3 linked regions of the Macaca fascicularis genome follow. The protein of the gene in region 3 interacts with the protein of the main gene of each other region in a pairwise test. Links are inferred from orthologs where the notes say so. Each region holds a gene or a part of one and is shown on either strand. Other genes may lie near its edges.

The links.
Region 1: the proteins of C14H11orf68 (region 3) and REL interact in binary tests that used the Homo sapiens proteins (3 or more experiments, as listed by UniProt). The two-hybrid records come from large-scale screens. The link is inferred for Macaca fascicularis from reciprocal best matches to the Homo sapiens genes C11orf68 and REL.
Region 2: the proteins of C14H11orf68 (region 3) and EIF4H interact in binary tests that used the Homo sapiens proteins (3 or more experiments, as listed by UniProt). The two-hybrid records come from large-scale screens. The link is inferred for Macaca fascicularis from reciprocal best matches to the Homo sapiens genes C11orf68 and EIF4H.

What each region holds. Positions count from the first base shown.
Region 1 is NC_088387.1:61,083,195-61,086,943, reverse strand, and holds the start of REL (proto-oncogene c-Rel), read left to right. Parts: upstream 1-1,445; 5' UTR 1,446-1,539; coding exon 1,540-1,630; intron 1,631-3,749. UniProt on the Homo sapiens protein: Proto-oncogene that may play a role in differentiation and lymphopoiesis.
Region 2 is NC_088377.1:53,056,405-53,060,153, forward strand, and holds the start of EIF4H (eukaryotic translation initiation factor 4H), read left to right. Parts: upstream 1-896; 5' UTR 897-922; coding exon 923-981; intron 982-3,749. UniProt on the Homo sapiens protein: Stimulates the RNA helicase activity of EIF4A in the translation initiation complex. Binds weakly mRNA.
Region 3 is NC_088388.1:8,480,369-8,483,970, forward strand, and holds C14H11orf68 (UPF0696 protein C11orf68 homolog), read left to right. Parts: upstream 1-836; 5' UTR 837-861; coding exon 862-980; intron 981-1,670; coding exon 1,671-2,430; 3' UTR 2,431-3,079; downstream 3,080-3,602. Other genes in the region: DRAP1 (dr1-associated corepressor), read right to left, coding at 39-111, 349-390.

The sequences.
Region 1 (3,749 bases), on a different chromosome or scaffold from region 3:
AATTAACTTTTTGTTCTATATACTTGATGCTGGTTGCTCATTCTAGCAATAAGATGTTAGTTAATGTGTCTATTTCTGATAATTTATGATCCATTTAAACATTTATTGCAATGTAATTTTTTATCTTAAAAACTCATACTTTATTAAATAGGCACTATGTTTTAAAATAGCACTCTTTCTTGCCTAAGTGCAAATAAAAACATAAATATATCTTACAAACATTTTGACTGTATTTCAGATATTATTCTGATGTATATTAGCCTTTTAAAATACTCTTCAGAATATAGGGGTCAGTCCCAACTTTGCATAGTATTGCTTAAAGAAAAATACAGTAATCAACTTGTTTAGAGCCAACTTTGGAGACGTTTTTGTGCTTTTCAAAACTGTGGCGATTTGAGGTTATCTTAATTAAGAGTACTTATTTTCCCTACAATTTCCTGATTTATATTTTACCCTCTTCCACTCCATAGATGACTACTTTTCAGCACATTTTATATTCAGGAAGAATGGCACTGCGCAAAGCACAGTACTGAGGAAGGAAATAACTGGTGCATTGTACTGATGCATTATATAAATGATTTATAGCTGGGAAGTTTTTTAAAAATCATAAACACAGATAAATCGAAATATGAATGAGTATGAGGAAATGCTGAGGTGTAGCAATCCTGGTACCTACAAAGCACTATTTTTTTTTTTCCCTTGGTAGTGGAATCTAATTAAAAAATCTGACTAATCACATACATGATTATTTAACGTTTGAGTAACTTGTATAAACAAAATACCTTAAGATATTTTAGTCATTCATTCAATAGGTGTTTAATGAATATCTGTATACAAGGCACTGATGAGTAAAACACAATTTCTGCCTTCAAGTAGCTTGAAGAAATAAAACAAGTAGCTTTATCTCAAGAAGAAATAAGATGGTAAGTTTAATTTTAATTAAATAAGATGGTAAGTTTAATAAGATGGTAAGATGTAATTTTCCCTAAATTACAGTTATTTGGAATAATTACTATAAACAGAATACTATGGTAGTTTAAAGGAGGGGAGATTATTTCCAGCTGGGGGAATGTAGAGCATTACAATATACTCTGTTACTTGGTTGTAATACTCTACATTCCCCCAGCTTGTTAATTTTTACCAATTAAGAGCTTCTGCAATAAGAAAAATAAATTCCAAGGATTTTAAATACTCAATATTATATGATAACCAATATTTATATAATTTTTACTATTTAAAAATATTTTATTTAATCTTTTCAACAACTACTTTTCTGTTCTTTTAATAGACATTTTAATAAACAATCTAAAGAAGTGTCTTGTAACCAATGAAGTTTTGTTTTGTTTTTGGTTTTGGTTTTGGTTTTTTTGAGATGGAGTCTCGCTCTGTCACCCAGGCTAGAGTACAATCGTGCAATCTTGGCTCACTGCAGCCTCTGCCTCTTGGATTCAAGCAATTCTACTGCCTCAGTCTCCTAAGTAGCTGGGATTACATGTGCCTGCCACCACATCCAGCTAATTTTTTGTATTTTTAGTAGAGATGGTGTTTCACCACGTTGACCAGGCTGGTCTGGAACTCCCGACCTCAAGTGATCCACCCACCTTGGCCTCCCAAAGTGCTGGGTTTACAGGTATGAGCCACCATGCCCAGCCTCAGTTAAATACTTGAATGCTCACTATGAACCTAGAATTTTAATTCATACTCTTCCCCTCCCAAAGTTAAACACTTATTAACGATGTCATTTTATTTTATTTTATTATTATTATTTTTTGTTGTTGAGATGGAGTCTCGCTCTGTTGCCCAGGCTGGAGTGCAGTGGCCGGATCTCAGGTCACTGCAAGCTCCGCCTCCCGGGTTTACGCCATTCTCCTGCCTCAGCCTCCCAAGTAGCTGGGACTACAGGCGCCCACCACCTCGCCCGGCTAGTTTTTTGTATTTTTTTTAGTAGAGACGGGGTTTCACTGTGTTAGCCAGGATGGTCTCGATCTCCTGACCTCGTGATCCGCCTGTCTCGGCCTCCCAAAGTGCTGGGATTACAGGCTTGAGCCACCGTGCCGGCCAACGATGTCATTTTATATCAGTTTCCCACCAAGACACCTTTAAATAAGTAGTGGGCGGGGATTTATTTGGCTTTTACTTCAGCCACATAAATTATTTAAAATGTCACTTAAAAAATAATGTTGATTTTAACAGTTTTTAAGAGGAAAATATACTCTTTCTTAAATACTCCTACAAGGATATATAAGGGTATGAAATATTTGAAATTGCGGCCAGGCGCAGTGGCTCACATCTGTAATCCCAGCACTTTGGGAGGCCGAAGTGGGCGGATTACGAGGTCAGGAGATCGAGACCACGGTGAAACCCTGTCTCTACTAAAAATACAAAAAACTAGCCAGGTATAGCTGGCGTGGTGGCGGGCGCCTGTAGTCCCAGCTACTCGGGAGGCTGAGGCAGGAGAATGGCGTGAACATGGGAGGTGGAGCTTGCAGTGAGGCGATATCACGCCACTGCACTCCAGCCTGGATGACAGAGCGAGACTAAGTCTCAAAAAAAAAAAAAAAAAAAAATTTGAAATTGCAGTATGAATTTGAAATATTTGAAATATGCAAGGATAAAATTGTGAAATACTCATCTGCATATCTTATGTTTTTGAGTAAAACTGAAATAAGGATTATGTATGGGTTAAAGTCAGTTTTCTCTGACTCTTCATCTTTTGAATAAACAAATAGGTAGTAGATTCAAGCACAGAGAGTTTGCACCATACAGAATAAAATTGAAAGTAATGGTAATACTTTATTCAGTAACCCAAAGTAGAAGCCATGGAACCATCAATGATTCTTTAATTTCTGAGCCATCAGTGATTTTTTAATTTCTCTTAACCCTAATGTTCAGGCACCAGGTGCTGTCAATTTTATCTTTTAAATAATCTTTCATTCCTTTTATCACTGCCATATATCAGACATACTGTCATCATTGCCCACATTATTATAGTGGTCTCTAAACTGATCACGTTGCTTTCTTTTTTCTGTCTGCTGTGACCAAAAATTTTTTTTTTTTTTTGAGACAGAGTCTCGCTCTGTTGCCCAGGCTGGAGTGCAGTGGCCGATCTCGGCTGACTGCAACCTCTGCCTCCCGGGTTCACGCCATTCTCCTGCCTCAGCCTCCTGAGTAGCTGGGACTACAGGCGTCCACCACCACGCCCGGCTAATTTTTTTTATATGTTTAGTAGAGACGGGGTTTCACCGTGTTAGCCAGGATGGTCTCGATCTCCTGACCTCGTGATCTACCCGCCTCGGCCTCCCAAAGTGCTGGGATTACAGGCGTGAGCCACTGTGCCCCGCTTAAAATTTTTACTCTAAAACGTAAATATGATCATGTGATTTGCCTGCATCAAATTATTCATTGATTTCATCACACATAAAATGAAATCCACATTGCCAAGTGTGCTCTGACTTTTAGTTCTCTTTCTAAGAGAGGAAGTGTATTCCACTTACAAACATTGGTGATTCTTAAATAAACCCTCCTCTGTGGACACATTGTTCCCCTTTCCCTAGAATACCTAACTTTTTCCTCTTTATTTCCCCCACTCTTTTGCTTCATTAACCGCTCTTTTTCCACTGACACAGTTGGGCGTTCCTGACTCTTCCGCTCTTATTTCCACAAAATTTTGTTAGTGCTTTCCTTCCTTCTGTAGTCTAATAATATGTGTTGTTCGCCTTGCTCTTCTGTAAGGTCCTTTAGAGTGACAG
Region 2 (3,749 bases), on a different chromosome or scaffold from region 3:
AATAAAAAGTAATGGTTAAGCGTAAGATACCTAGGTACACATTACAAGACAATTCTATGAGGTTCTTTTAAAGTGTGCCTAGATAATTAAGGTTTGTCAACATTGTGGCACCCACAATTACCACCATCTCACTCACAAACCTGGAAATTTACCCGTGTAATTAATTCCCACTGCACAACCATGTTTTGTTATTGCCAGATGATGGAATCCACATCAGTATCCGATTCTTTTTCCAAGGCAACGACTTTCCAAGGCAAAAAACCGAGATGTGCAGTCTCTCTTGCTAAGCCATCGACCACCTATACTCTCTCCTCTCAAAACCCCCTAATACCCAGTCAGCTAGTAAGCCCTGAAAGGCAGGATTCGAGTCTGCATCCCACCGCCTCGCACCCCCTTCCGAGGCATCCTCATCGTGTGGCCAGCTCCTGCCTGGAGAAGGAGGCGGCCTTTACTTGGGTGTCATCCGGGGACCACTTGCGGGTCCAAGCGTGACAGGCCTCCGCGGTCCCTGCCAGGTCTGGAGGCCGAGAGGCAGGGTTCCAGGCGAACGGGAGAGGGAGTTCCCCGCCGGCTCTCCCGGAAGGCCAGCGCGCACGGGCGGGGCGCGGCGGGGATAGGAGGCAGCCGCGGGTGCAGCCTCAGGGCCAGCACATAATGGGCAGCGGCGGCGGGGCAGGCGTCCAGCTGGGGCGCCGCCGCACCACGTGGGCCGCAGAGCGCACGGCGCAAGCAGCTGCCCGTGGGCCCAGGGCCTGGCGCGGCGCGGCAAGCGTCCGTGCGTGCGCGCGCGCGCGCGCGTGCATGCGTCCTAGGGATTTGCGATCAGGCGGCGCGGCGGACAGCCCCGGCGGCGGGGCGGGGGGAGTTATATTGCGGGGTCCTTCCTCGCTCACCCTGGTTCCTCTCGGAGCGGAGACGGCAAATGGCGGACTTCGATACCTACGACGATCGGGCCTACAGCAGCTTCGGCGGCGGCAGAGGGTGAGGCGAACGTGCGCGGGCCCCGGCGGGGGCTGCGGGACCGGCGGAGTCGGGGCCGTCAAGGTGGCGGTAGTCCTGCGCTCAGCCGGGGCGGCGGGAGGCGGGGGCCTGCCCGGGGGCCCGCGGAGGCCTAGGAGCGGTGCCTGGAGGGCCGGGGCCTGGAAATGGCGCGCTCGGAGACGGGGCGGCGGCGGCTGGGTGCTCGGGGTCTTGCGCGCGGGGCGGATCCCTTCCACTGCTTCCCGCCAACGACAACGTGTCGGTTTTTGCCCTGCCTCGGCCGCGGCGGCTCCCAGTGCCCGGAGACTAGCGCCGCTTCAAGCCCCATCCCCCCTACGGCAGGACCGGCGCGGGGCTGAGCTGCGGCGCCGGGGTGCGGGCCACACGGCCTGTCCCGCTCCGGTCCTGGCCCCTTTCGCGGCCCTCCGTTGTCTGCCCGCTCTGCAGGCCCCTGGCCCCTTCGCCATGAGGCCCGCCGACTGGGGAAGGTCGGAAGCCAAGAGGAGCAATTCCCTTCCCCTTACGTGTGAGGCAGGGATTTGGCGGCTCTGGCCCGTGGATGGTACGACTCCCTGCGGGCGGGGGGAGACCATGGAAACAAATCCATCGTAGCTTCTTTGTGTTAATCTGTCTTGGGTCACAGTGCCTTGACAGGTGCTACGTGCTCTTTGGCACAATTTTATTTCTCCCTGGTTTCTCGCTCTGACCTGGAGAAGAAACCGCATTTAGTCTCGTCCTGATCGTTGTCAAATGCGGACAACTATGTATATTTGAAACACCTTGCTTAAAAGAAACATCTTTGAATAGACAGCTCTTGGTGTTTAATTCCAGGAATCTGCACTTCAAGAAAAAAATACAAGTTGCCTCGTTAGAATATAGGCTATGAACATCTTGCTATTTGTCAAGGACACACTTGGGCTTTGTGTTTTCTTGCAGAAAGGATTACTTTCCCAGGATAACACCACAATAGTACACACTGAGGTGTTCGGTCTCTTGGGGTGCAGTCCAGAAGTATCTTTGTTTGTTGAAGAATGGTCGCTTTTAATACCTTGGTTTGGGAACGGCTCAAACAAAAGCTTGTTTCAGTGCAGGAGTGTAGCTAATATTCATGATACTGTAATGTGGAAGTGTGTTGGGGTAGGTGGAGCTATTGTCATTCCAAAGAACATTTTATTTGCTAATAAAAAAAGAAATAAATGTTGGATGACATGAAATTATCGCCTTTGGGGTAGGTTTCTAGACATCAAATTTGTTCTCAAGTCACTTCGAAATTTAATAACTAGGGTTTTTTTTTTTTTTCTAGTTCCAAAAAACGTTCACAACAGTACCCAGAAACATTCTTAAACAGTGCGATCAATTTAAATTTTAGTTGCATTGGAACTACAATAAGGTGGCCTTGTTAAACTGAGTGTGGGGATTTTAAAAAAAATTATTCCTTCAGACACATTTGCCAGCTCTTCTGGTGTCAAATTTTAACATTTGGGGAGTACCTGGAACAATCAAAAGTAAATTTCTGTTAAGATGCTATTAATTTCAAATATCCACAGGCAAATGAAAATATTAGTCATTTGTCCCAGGTATACTCCAAAAACTGATAGGAGAGTCTTCTAGGTAGCATCATTTAAACTTCCTAATAGAAAGTCTCTTTACTGTTAAGCATCTTCTATGTCTGACTACTTGGAATTTTCTATTTGGCTTCATATTCATGTAAAAGTACGTAAAATATTGCTACTTTTAAAAGTAGTTTTAAAAACCTGTTGGTGAATTTATGTATTCATTTATACATATGTTTTTTGTGGTTTTTTGTTGTTGTTGTTGTTTTCTTTTTGAAGATGGAGTTTCGCTCTTGTTGCCCAAACTGGAGTGCAATGGTGCGATCTTGGATCACTGCAACCTCTGCCTCCTGAGTTCAAGCGATTCTCCTGCCTCAGCCTCCCAAAGTGCTGGGATTACCGGCGTGAGCCACCTCGCCCGGCCTCAGCTATTATAATTTTGTCCACATGAACAGATGTCACTGCTTTACAGTGCTTAAGCATCATAGAAGATTGCCACCTATGGAAAGCAATTTTAATACTGCTTTGTTTGGTACTTGTGTAGGCACCTTCTCCCTTGTCTAAAATGCCTCAGACAGGCTAATATATCTCACCCCTAAATCACTTGGGTCACAGGTGAAAGAAATGGTAGGCCTGAAATCTAAAAACAGTTACAATCTTAAAACATAGTTTGGTAATTATACATCCTTGTGAGTTTATTTTGTAGTTGTGTTTAATAACCAGTGCAGTTGTCAGGAAACAGTATTGAACCACTGCTTTTTTCCACCGAGCCTATAAAGGCATGTCCCCAGCAGCCAGGGAGAGAATCAGGGATTGCATTGTTCAGCAAGCAAATCAAAACAGAATTCCAAATGATCAAGAGTTGATTGTACCAGATCTTGAATGGACTTTGTTTTGCAGTTTGCTAGATTATCTTTGTGAGGTTCCAGTTTCTCATTTGCCATTGGCAGTAAAGTGCAGAGTAATACTGATTTTACATTTCTAATTGCAACAAAGCTATGGGTACTTAGTGGAAAACCACCAATCCTGAGAATTAGGGTGGAACTTGGAGGTGGCAAGAATTGAGGTGGCTGAAATGGTGCCATCTAAAAACTGACAAAACTCCAAATTTATTCTTTATCAAGATTCAGTTAGGGAGTTAAAAATTCTTTTTTAAATAGAGATGGGTTTCACGATGTTGCCCAGGCTGGTTTTGAACTCCTGGACTCAAGCGAT
Region 3 (3,602 bases):
CCGACGCCCCTCGACCCGGCCCGCCCCCGGCAGGATACAGATGATGACAGGCACCGCCGCCGCCACCTTCCCAATCTCTTCGTCCGTCTGCATGATCTTCTTGATCCGCGCCTTCGGGTGGGGGAGCAGAGTTCAGACCCCGTCGCCTCCGTCCCCTAAAGGGGTGCCGGGGGAGGAAGGGGCATCCCCGGAGAAAGGGGGCGGAGGACGCGGACGCGGGGAGGGCACGGAGGAGGCGGGGCGTCCAGGCCCCCGAACACCGCGGCGCGCCTGCCTTTCCAGAGGGAACTGGGCCCAAGCCTCCCGGGAGCCGGGCCCACTCCCTGCCGGGCTCTGCCATGTGCTCACCGGCGGGAACCGCGCGTTGTACTTCTTCTTCTTGCTCGGCATCTCGGGGCCTCGCTCGCCGCGTCGGGTCCAGCACCGCCGCCCGCAGCCTCCCGGCTCCCGGGCCTGCTCGCTGCCCGCCCGCCTCGGTTCCCCCGGGTCCTGGTGCCGCCCGCTCCGCCCCCGCCGCTTCCCGTGGAGTCCTAGCGCCGCCGGTTAAGACGCCACTCACGGGGCCCTAGTGCCCTCCACTTGGAGCCTCCCGGGCCGTGCGCATCCCTCCCCGGTCTGTACCGCTGCTCCCGCCCGCCCCCAAGACCAGAAGAGCGAACGTTGGCCCCGCCCCCCACGGCCCGCCCCTCCCGGGGTTCCCGCGATGGCCCCGCCCCCCGAGTCAGCACCTCCCCGTCGGCCCCGCCCCTTCCCCTGCCGGCCCCGCCCCACAGCGCGGCCGCTGCGGCCGCTGAGGCTGGCGGCTCCGCCCCGTGGCTGCGCTTGTCTATAAAGTTGTTGTTGAGGTGGCACGGCGCTAAGATGGCGGCGGCGGCGGCGGCCGTGGCGGGGGTGGGGCGCGGCGGCGGTGGCACGGAGCCCCGGCAGGAGCGGAACCGGGCCCGGGGCTGGGCCGGCGTCGAACGCAGCGAAGGCCGGAGGTGACTGCGGGCGGCGGGAGGGGCAGGGCAGGGCCGGGGCGGGAGCACCGCTCGGGCCGTGGGCGTTAATGGCGGCGGGCGCGGCACGGCCGGAGCCTGGCGCTCCTGCAGGCTCTAGCAAGCCCAGGTTCGACTCCGGGCACCGCCCCATTGGCTTCGGAAAGGCCTGTGCCCTCTCTGGACCTCAGTGTCCTCGTCTTTAAGTGGGCCCGTTAACGCCTTCTCGGGAGGCCTGGCCCTACAGAGCCGGCCTTGGGAGCTGCGCGAACGTGCGCTTCTTTGCCTTCCTCTATTAAATGCCAGCGCTCCGGATACCTGCCAGGAAAAGGGGGCCTTGTCGGGGCCGGGAGGTGTAGCTGGGGCCGGTTGCTCCCACGCCTGGATTCACCCTTTGGCCCTGCCACGCACTACAGGTGACCTTGGGCAAGTCCTTTCTCTCTCAGCCTCAGTTTCCTTGTCTGTAAGTCAAGGAGAATAGTAATAACTGCAGCAACCCTTCTGGAGCGCTCACTCCTCAGGCATCTAATTTTCACAGCGGATCTACAGGACAGGAACAGTTGTTATCCCATTGTAAAGATGAGGCAACTGAGGCGCATCGACAATAACTCTTACCCAAGGCCACAGTTTAATCCAGTGCCTGGCACCTGTAGTTATTGTCTCAGACCCTGCCCTGACTCGGTTCCCTCACAGCAGGATGGAACCAGGTGAGGAGCTGGAAGAGGAGGACTCTCCAGGTGGCCGTGAGGATGGCTTCACTGCTGAGCACCTGGCTGCAGAGGCTATGGCAGCTGACATGGACCCCTGGCTAGTGTTTGATGCCCACACGACACCTGCCACTGAGCTGGATGCCTGGCTGGCCAAGTACCCACCATCCCAAGTTACCCGCTATGGGGACCCCGGTTCACCCAACTCAGAGCCTGTGGGCTGGATTGCAGTGTATGGGCAGGGCTACAGCCCCAACTCCGGGGATGTGCAGGGCCTGCAGGCAGCCTGGGAAGCTCTGCAGACCAGTGGGCGGCCCATCACACCGGGCACCCTGCGCCAGCTCGCCATCACCCACCACGTGCTCTCAGGCAAGTGGCTTATGCATCTGGCACCAGGCTTTAAGCTGGACCATGCCTGGGCTGGCATTGCCCGGGCCGTGGTTGAAGGCCGGCTTCAGGTGGCCAAGGTGAGCCCACGGGCCAAGGAGGGTGGGCGCCAGGTCATCTGTGTTTACACGGACGACTTCACGGACCGCTTGGGTGTACTGGAGGCGGATTCAGCCATCCGTGCAGCAGGTATTAAGTGCCTGCTCACCTACAAGCCTGATGTCTACACCTACCTGGGCATCTACCGGGCCAACCGCTGGCACCTCTGCCCCACTCTCTATGAGAGTCGTTTCCAGCTTGGGGGCAGTGCCCGTGGCTCCCGAGTGCTTGACCGTGCCAACAACGTGGAACTGACCTAGAGGGGCCAAACTGGGGAGACTGCCCTCTCCCCACTCCATGCTGGGGATGGATTTTCTGTCTTCCTCCTTGTCCCATGAAGGACAAGCCCCCCAACTCTGGGGACTACTAGGTCACTTGGGAACTACCTGCATCTTCAGTCCCCTTGAACTTCTGCCCTCTGTTCAGGGCTGATGCAAGCCCCACAGGCTGGGGGAATCCGGTTGTCTGAGGGATGAGCCTTCAGCCTCCCTTTGTAATGCTGCTCCTCTCCACTGCCCAGGACCGTGGGTTGGGTGCAGACACCTAAGAGGAGAGACTTCCTTGGGACGCTCATCCCCTGCTATACCTCCCCTTCCTCCTGCATCTCCCCTTCTTTCCTTCCCCCTCACAAGGGAGAAAACTTAGTACTTCCAGCCCCTCTCCTTGGAGTCTTCATGGTCTAGGGGTAGGGGCCCCACTGGCCTGAGCATGCCATTTTGGGGGGAGGGTGGTTGTGCCTACTTGTCCTTTGGCAGAGGGGATGCCAGGACCATGGACATGAGGCCTGCGCATCCCTGCCAGCTCACACAGCCTGTCCCACCATCCCCCCTTCCTTGGCTACTTTGACATGTGCCTGCTCCTGGCATTTCAATAAAACCCGGCTTGGGTCTGTGTCTTGAGTGGTTTAAATACTGTCTTGGTGGTTACCTGCTTTGGTTGCTAGGGAGAGGCAGGGCCAGGAGAGACTACCCCGTTGACCCGGCCAGGCCCCCGTAGCTGCCCCTAGCAATAAGTTGTGCCTCACTGCTGAGGCTAGGCCCTGTCTCTAAGAACCTCTGCAAAACCAGCCCCACTTCCCCTCCATCCCAAATCAGTTTCTCAGAGATTTCCCATAATTCCAGGGGTTGATCCCTCCAGGAACGTCTAAGGGGCCACTGCTAGCCCTCAAGGTACATTTGTGCATATTAGAGGAAGGTACCAAGCCCAGGCAGTCCTAGGCCAGGGTACGTGGTTTGGGGAGCAGAGGATGGGATGGGCTGGATTTCGGCACCCTAGGCTGGACATCCTTGTGCAGTGAACAACCTGCGCAACCCTAGGTAGTCTCTCTGGAAGCCCCGCCATTCATACTGTCCTCTTCTACCATCCTGACCTTCATAGGGCCCACTGGACAGTTTGCAAAGCGCTTTCATATGTATTAAATTTAAATCTCACA